Xenopus tropicalis: one gene and its partner. The main gene of each other region encodes a partner of the protein of the gene in region 2 in a complex. Links are inferred from orthologs where the notes say so. Each region holds a gene or a part of one and is shown on either strand. Other genes may lie near its edges. The genes, in order: ptp4a2 and cnnm3.

The links.
Region 1: the proteins of cnnm3 (region 2) and ptp4a2 are in contact, whole or in part, in a crystal structure (PDB 5K25), measured with the Homo sapiens proteins. The link is inferred for Xenopus tropicalis from reciprocal best matches to the Homo sapiens genes CNNM3 and PTP4A2. Residues at the interface, in NP_060093.3 of Homo sapiens: Leu390, His391, Phe392, Val393, Phe394, Asp396, Thr397, Glu405, Ala414, Gln417, Val419, Glu424, Gly425, Asp426, Pro427, Phe428, Tyr429; in NP_001356788.1 of Homo sapiens: Met1, Asn2, Arg3, Pro4, Asp69, Gly70, Cys101, Ala103, Leu105, Gly106, Arg107, Arg134, Arg135, Gly136, Ala137, Phe138, Asn139, Lys141, Gln142.

Annotation. Positions count from the first base shown.
Region 1 is NC_030678.2:86,676,112-86,680,442, forward strand, and holds the start of ptp4a2 (protein tyrosine phosphatase type IVA 2), read left to right. Parts: upstream 1-1,526; 5' UTR 1,527-1,876; coding exon 1,877-1,972; intron 1,973-3,249; coding exon 3,250-3,342; intron 3,343-4,331.
Region 2 is NC_030679.2:125,259,685-125,264,206, reverse strand, and holds the start of cnnm3 (metal transporter CNNM3), read right to left. Parts: upstream 3,064-4,522; 5' UTR 2,469-3,063; coding exon 962-2,468; intron 592-961; coding exon 448-591; intron 241-447; coding exon 88-240; intron 1-87. UniProt on the Homo sapiens protein: Probable metal transporter.

The DNA of each region.
Region 1 (4,331 bases), on a different chromosome or scaffold from region 2:
CTTCACAGGGCACATCAACCAGTTAATGGACTAGTTCTGTCTCTTACTCCCACACTTTTTGCTGTTATAGTTAGAGCTGCATTATTTGTAAAGTGTCCCTGTCCCTTCAAATATGGCAGTGCTTTCGATACTTACACCTGGTTATCATCCCATTAATAGAATCCTATGCCTCTAATTTCCCTTTCAAATGCACTGTGAATCCTAGCAGTTCACATACTTTTGCCACACACATATGTGTGTGTGTGGCAACTTTTTTCAATAAATCAACTAGTGTAATGTTTTTAACTCATTTGTTTAAATGGGTACTTAGTATCAAGTTTTAGGTGGGGAAAAACAGATCATGTTTTTGATCAAATGAATGCAGGAATATTGGAAATTCAAAAAGGTTCACAAATTTTCCAGCACCATTGTATTAGACCAGTAATCCCTAACCATTGGCTTATAAGCAACATGTTGCTTACCAACCCCTTGGATGTTTCCCAAACAAGTTATTTTTGAATTTCTGACTTGGTGGCAAGTTTTGTTTGAATAAAAACAAGGTTTACTACAGGTATGGGACCTGTTATCCAGAATGCTCGGGACCTGGGGTATTCCGGATAAGAGGTCTTTCAGTAATTCGGATCTCCTACCTTTAAGTCTACTTAAAAAAAATATTTAAACAGTAATTAAATCCAATAGGATTGTTTTGGCTTCAATAAGGATTTATTATATCTTAGTTGGGATCAATTACAAGGTAGTGTTTTATTATTACAGAGAAAAAGGAAACCATTTTTTAAAATGTGAATTATTTGATTATTGAGTCTATGGGAGATGGCCTTTCCGTAATTCAGAACTTTCTGGATAATTGGTTTCTGGATAATTCAAGTTGTCAGTGTTTCCCTTATGACTGCAAAATTGGTATCATGTTTGGTTGTTTGACATATGCGTGTGGCCACCAGGCATAGGCTGAACTAATTTGTGCCCGAAAAATAGCAGCCAATCAGTATGAAGCAAACATCTTATTGGTTGCTATGGGTTACTGCTCTTGGGCATACTTTTTTTGCTTTTTATTATATATATGTTCCATGTGCACAATTTAATGTATCGTCATCATTTATTTATATAGTGCCAGCAAGTTATGCAGCGCTTTACATTAACTTTTCAGAATGAGTACACAGAAAAAATAGCTTCTAAATTACCAGTGTAAGTTTGATATTTTAAAAAAATTAAATAAAGCTGAATTTGCAAAGTAAGCCTTCTTAACCTACAAATACTAATTTGCAGTGTTCTTCTGTCTCAAAGGTTTCCTCTTGGAGTGGACGTGGCATATTTATGGCGATTCGGCGCATAAGAACAGAATACTGCCAGGCTCAGCACGGCTTTGGCGCGGACAAGTGAGCTGAAAAGTCTGCCTCTTTGAGCCCACCCTCCAATCATCAGCCTTTTGCCAGCTGCAGTAAAGCATATGGGAGTTACTATTTATTTTCATACCTTGAGACCATCTTGCTTTTGCAAATTAATTTTTCCTTTTGTGAAGGGAAGACTTTTACAAAGTGGGGACTAAGTGCGGAGGCCATCTCTGCAGTTATTTTTTCTTTTCCAAATGAGTGCCTCCTTGCCATAAAGACCATTGGTCCATTTTTTTTTTTTTAATTTCTTTTTCATTTCCCTTCCATAAGTTATGTAAGAAAATTCCATTGGATGCTGTACTGCATCCCTCACAAAGTGCTTGATTGCATTAAAACCATCGCTGGGACTTTTGCAATAAGTCTTTTTTTTTTTTTTCTTCCTGCAAAAAAATTTTTTTTTTTCTTTATAGAAATTTTTAATATTTTTTGCTGTGAATTTTTCAGGATTTTTTCCCAAGAAATATCCTTATTTTTTTAATCTGATCAAAATGAACCGTCCAGCTCCAGTAGAAATCTCTCATGAGTGCATGCGTTTTCTTATTACCCATAATCCAACCAATGCCACACTCAACAAGTTCACAGAGGTAAGAATCTACATGCAGTATCGTCTAGGCAGTTGGCTATACCAATGAACTCAAGCAGTTCTAATACAAACCACAGAAAAAATGTTTTGTTTTCATTATTCAGTGAGGTATTCCATTCAGGAAGGATTTTTTTCCTCAATTGACCCTGCATTAGTAGATGGGTCTATATTGATTTACTGGAATTTGTGGCTAATGGTAACCGCTACTATAATACTTAAAGGGATGGTTCACCTTTAATTTAACTTTTAGCATGTCTTAGAATGAACAATTCTAAGCAACTTTACACCTGGTCTTTATTATTTGTTTCTTATGGTTTTTGAATTATTAGCCTTTTTCTTTAAAAACTCTGTAGTTTTGAAGAGGGGGTCACTGACCCCGACAGCCAAAAACTATTGCTCTGTGAGGCTACAGTTTTATTGTTATTGTTACTTTTTATAACTTTTTTCTATTAAGTCCCTCTCCTATTCATATATCAGTCTCTTATTCAAGCCACTCCCTGGTTGCTAAGGAGAACAACTCCTATAAAATATGATTCCCAAAAAATTGTGAAAAAAATATGCCGTTAGTTACCACATATTGCAAATAGTGATGAGTGAATAAACGTAAAAACTGCGCCATAAGGAAGAGGTGAAGGGGGTCTAGGCAATGATAGTTAAGGGGGCTTTTTCCACCCAATGGTATAGTTCTCCTTTAACCTGTTTCATACGTTAATTGTACCTGCAGCAGTGCACCTCCCAAGAAGCATTGTTCTTTAGAAGTACAACAGGTATAGGGTCTCTTACCTCAGAAAGCTTGAATTATGAAAATGTAGTTATTTGAGCAGAAAATTCAATATCTTTTCCTCCTTTTTACTGTTTTATTACCCTTTCTCTTTAGTAATAATACAGTACCTCGTATTTGATGGTAACTAAGCTGCATGAATCCATATTGATGGAAAAGCAATCCTATTGGGCTTATTAAAATGTTTAAAAGTTTTTTTTTGTAGGCTTATGGTATGGAAATACCTTTGGAAAAATCCCACGTCTTTGCAGGTGCAAAGTTTTAATCATCACAACCTAAAAATAATGTTATCAGAATGCCCCATGTGCAAATATCCCATTTTGTTTTTCATGTTTTAGGTTGATTTTATTTTATCACTTTTTTGTTTGCAGAAAAGTGCACTTCAGCAAGACAGTAATTGCTTTTAAAGTGCATTGTATTTTTGTGTTCCTTTAATGTTTTATAGCTTGGGTTTTAATTACTCAAATGTAATCTTCACCATGTTTTTCATATTGCAGGAGCTAAAGAAATATGGAGTTACCACCCTTGTGAGAGTATGCGATGCAACATATGATAAAGCACCGGTAGAAAAGGAAGGGATACAGGTTTTAGTAAGTATACTACTAGCCTACTGACTTACTCCGGTGAGGAGCTTAAGTTGAATTTTGTATTCATTTGTTTAATTGAAGTTTATCAGTGCCACATGTCTGTGGTACCCTGTGAAATGAAGAATATGGCTCGCCCTGTGTGAATTTCAAAATTAAATATAAATAAATATGTTTGTGTCTTAGATAAACTGATTGCAATGCAGGATTCTGCTGGAGAAGCTCTATTAACTTGTTAATGTTTTCTCATGACAGTATTGCAGTAAGACTTATATCAAATGAGGGGCAGCCTCTGAGAAAATGCAGGCAGAGAAAAGTCTATTCACTCCACTCCGTCTCTACAATGACAGGCCTGTTTGCAGACACGTGGAGCAGATATCTGTGCGAAAACACAAAACTATGTGTGTTTACATGATATCCACTCCCTTTGTCTGTACACAGTCCAATGCTGTCTATCGGTGAGAGACACTGAGCAGAGGGGAGCACGTGGGCACTACCTGGAGAGAGTGCAGGCAGAGAGAAGTTGACTCTGCACTTCATGTGACATTAGCCTATGGGCGATGACACACGGGATAATTTGTCTCCGCGCAATGTCATCCCACCGGCTGGAATGTAAATCGGTGGTGGGATGGCATACGTGGCGCCGCAACAACGGAGACTTGTCACGGCTCAACTAATTTGTACCCCTGCCTTAAGGCTTCTGAGCTAGTGGCCCAGAGATGAATTAAATATGAATATATATGTGGTGTTTCCAGTCCAGCAGGGACTGATGTAAATTATGTATAACCTGTGTAAATTGCTGTGTAATATGTCACCGCTAAATAAAGTATTATAATAATAATTATATAACATTAACATATGCCAATCTCCCTTTTGCTCTTTGCAAAATTTTTCTGCTCCACTGACAGAGCCCAGCTTTATAAGCTTCCTTCTTACTTCAAGTTGTCAGTGATCAGACACTGATTTAATGCATTCACTCACCTTGTGGAAAATAT
Region 2 (4,522 bases):
TGCTACTTTAGTCTATATTATGGCATATTCAAGTGATTTTCAGCATTCACTCATCAAATATAAGAGGTGGCCACAGATGAAACTAACCCTGAGTCAGGAAGCGCTGTGTTGCCAGCAGAAGCTGGGGGGAAATCTTAACCTTCTGTTCGGCCTCTGCAGTTCTGAAGAAGGACAGCTCTTCCCCACCACGGGGTATTAGTATTGGCTGCACTGGCTGACGCTTCTTCTTGACTTTGCGCTCTGTGGAAGAATTAAAGGTGCAACAAATATCAGCATAGGTGGGTCATGATGACATCTAATATGATCTACATTATAACAGCATGTCTGACCTACAATCAACTCCCAGTTTAAAAAAGTACCGAGCTCTGTTCTCAAGCGCAGCTATAAACAATTCCTATATTTAATATCGGTATAAATGTCTAATCAGATAAATAGGAATCTCCTTACTGCAGTCTTCAGACTCGTCCAAAATTTCTGATTTTATGATCTCTTCTATGACATCTTCGAGGGTTACCAGCCCCATAACTTCATAGAACGGATCTCCTTCTCCCTCGTTATTCACTTTCTGTACAATGGCCATGTGGGACTTGCCTATGAAACCAAGTCACAGAGGCAGAATTACCAGGTGGCATTTAAAACACAGTGACAAAAAAATACAGACAATATATATATATTTTGCCCAAGCTACATAGGCAAACGTTATACAATTATACTTGCATTAAATTCGCTGAATACAATATATGGGATGCTATTGTCATATTTAAGATGTCCCTCAAAGGAGTGGCCAGTGTAAAGGCCACTCAGGGTGACATTTAGGCTAAACACTTACTTGATATCCTAGCTATCCTAATTTTTACAGTTTATTAATATATCTGTACCCTTGTTATGAGTGAAGAACCTAGAGAGGACACACAGGCTTGCTCACATTCTCATACGACTCTTGCATACCACAACCCCTCACCCTTCTTGAACTCCTCCAGCACAGCGTCCAGTTTGGTGTCGCTAAACACAAAGTGGACAGGGTGGCTGTAAAAGCGAGTGATGTAGTTCAGTGGAGTGCAGTCTTGTGGGTCCACAAAAGCCAGGTCCTTGGCATAGAGGATATCCACGATGTTGGAGCGCTCGTTTTCATATACTGGGATGCGGGTATAGCCACTCTCCATGATGCTGGACATGGTGTTGAAGTCTAACAAGGCATCACTGGGAAGCATAAAGCATTCAACCACAGGGGTCAGTATGTCCTCTACTGTCCGATTCCTCAGGGCCCCCTTGCTGAATTCATCTCTTACTAATTCACTGTAAGGGTCCCCACATCGGGCCATTTCCAATATACGGACTCTTTGTCGGCAGCAGCTAGGATCCTGCCCAAATGCTGCCTCCAGAAGCCATGACAGAGGGAATGAGAGGAGCCCAGCGAGGAACATGAAAAAATGGGTAAGCCACAGGCACTTGGGTGCTAGAATGAGCCCCCAGCGAGAACTTACTGCAGCTGGTAGCGCCTCACCAGCCAATAAAAGCAGTCCAGCTGCTGAGAAAATAGCTGCAGGGATTGAACCTATAGCATGGTAAAGAAGAACAGCCACAGCTGAGTTAGTAAGGCAGCAAAGGGCCAACATGGAGATCAGTGTGTACCCACCCCAGCGCGTCCGCAGGGGGTCCAACCGAGTGGCCCCATGTCTTTCACTGGGGGTTCCCCAATCCCGCAACAGGCCAAGCTCTGAGGGTTCTAGGGCCAGAGTGCTGAGCTGCAGCCCCCTGAGCAAGCCAGAGAAAAGGATACACAGGACAATAAGAAGAGCCAGGAGCCAGGAAGCCAAATACTGCCTTGCATTAGTCTCAGGGGGTGCTACAGAGGGAGTTTCATCCCTAAAACTAAGCAGGCGGGAACTGAGGGAGCCCAAAGTACACTGTTGTTCATCTCCTGGCCAGGGGGGCTTCTCTTCCTCCTCATCGCCCCCCAGCACGGTAATGAGTGTGTCTCCGCCGGGGAATGGAGCCCAGCTGTTTCCTTGGCGGGTACAGAGGGGGTACAGGAGGCCTCTGCCCTTACTCTCATTGAGAGCCCGGACAGTGACCAGGCCAGAGTGCTCGCTGCACACTCGGAACTCTTCCAGCAGTTGGAGGGGCGAGTCTGGCTCTGGAGAACATGTCTTGCTTCCGGGGCTGCCAATGGAGACCCAGGGCCAGGTGTCATTTCGCAGCCCCGATCCATAAAGACGGAGGCGGAAGGACGAACCAGGGCGAGCTCTGATCAGCCCGCCGCTCATTGACACGCCAGCTCCCTCCTCCAGCCGTAGCCCTAACACCTGGGCTTCAACGCTGCCATCTTCAAGCGCAAAAGCCACCCCGGTGTCACCGAACCCGGCCAGAAGCAGCAACCCAACCACGGCTACCGCCATGTTGGAAGAGGCAGAACAGCCTCTTCTGTGCCTTTGACAGCTCAACCAATCAGGTGAACGCCGCCGCATTCGCTCAGCCAGTGAGAAGCTCGGTGAATAAGTCGAGCCTATAAAATGGAGGAGGTGCGGCAGAGGGCGGAGCTACACTGTAAGCAACTGTAAACAAGGACAAAAAGCTGTGGAAGATTTAAATCTTTTGTTAGTTCTGCGGCGTTCAACGGCTCCACTTCTCCTCAGGAACTGGGCCCCTCGGGCACTGTGACCTGTCCCTCTTAGGCACAGTAATACGATAGCTTACAGTGAACGTCAGCCCCTCCCACCGTACTCCTACTAAACCTTTAGCATTATGGGTGTTGTAGTTTCTCATGTCTGCTCACGAATACACCCTAAATCTCAGATTTCACTGCCTCTCTCACCTCCAGAAGCTAATCCTATAAGGAGCATATGAGCCTGCATAAGGTTGAAGTCTATATAAAGATCAATACAAAATCTTAATATAACATACCTTTCACATGCACTGATAAACCATTTCCTACACTGTTCTATATAAAGCAATGGCTGAATCTCATACTTTAACCAGGGGCCCCATTTAGTAGCCTAACAACAAACCCCATAAGCACCATAATTCCCCCAGGACAGCCCTGCTCAGCTGCCATAACTGGGTGCATGGGCATTCCAAGCAAGGAACGTTTTGTTTGTCAGCAATGGGTGACAGAGAGCAGAAGTCGAGCGCCCAATCACACGGCCACAGTGGGGGAGCAGGGCTGCCCCAGGGAGTTTCTTTGCTGTTGTTGGGAAATTAAGGGGGGGGGGGCAATAGAGGGCTTCTCCAATGTAAATGTCAAAAAGCACACAAACCCATTAAATAATAAACTCTTTAATAATTAAACAATTTAGAATATACAGCCATCCAAAAATCGTACCATTCTTTCCATCTGTAAAAGGCAAAAAAAAAAAAGGGAAAAACCAAAAATAAATAAATATTTGCAAACAATTCCCTTATTTGTGCAGAAAGCCCCCCCCCCCCCCCCCCCCAATAGTACAGAGTGTTATTTCCCAATCCCTGATTAGGAGGGCCCAGCCTGCCACCCTACACACAGCAGCTGCTGCTGACCCTAAAGCAAAACACATCTATGGCTTGTGCAGATACTGTATTCAGCACTTATTTAGCAGGCAAAAGGTCTTTTATGGAAACCAAAAAAAAGATAGAGCAGGTAAAAAGGAGGTCAGTTTCATCCAAAAAATGCAAGTTTAACTTGTTGGAACCTGCACGGCAATCAGAGGGGATGTGTGTTTACGACAGGAATTCCCAGGAACCGAGACTGAATACTTGTGCAATACTAGAAGTTCTTTGTTCACTTTTTTCCTTCAAGCAACAGCAGGTCATTAGATAAGGCCAATACGCCTATGGTTGAGAGGATACAAGTACAAAGGGAACATGGGTATCCATACAAAAAAAAAAAATTGTGAAATCTTAGTACATTAAAGGGGAACTCTCTCAATAGTTATATGTAATAAACTACAGCTTACTAAAACAAGGAACATTTGTAAATTTAATGAAAAATTCATAGTAGTATGTAAGTCTTAGTTCCCCTTATGCCTCTTTCAGGAGCCCTTCTTCTGCAGGACAGGAAATTTATTGTAAAATAAATGACAATATTCACTGATTGCTTGTTGGCCAATCATGTTCACCTTGCTCTCAAACAGTTAGGCCTAGTGCTTGCCTTCTCTCATGCGCATTCAGTTACACTGTTACAGGTAGCGCACAGCCCCCTAAATCTTAAACAGGACAGTTCACCTTTAACTTTCAGTAGGTTGGACAATTCACAATGTCCCATATTTTTTTTTTTTTTTAATTGATTTAGAGTATTGTTCTTTCTATTTTTTTCCCCTTTTCTATTCATTTTCCAATTGTCAAGGTAAATCGGCCCTAGCAACCAGATAGCTGAAATGCTAAACTGTTGCTGAACAAAAAGATGACCAATTGCAAATGACCTCAGATAACCACTGTCTACACTGTCACACTAAAAGTTAATTTAAAGGTAAGCTACCCCTTGAACACGAAACCCCTCAATCTGGAGACAGGAACAAGGTGATTACAATTTGCCAAAAGTAATCTAACA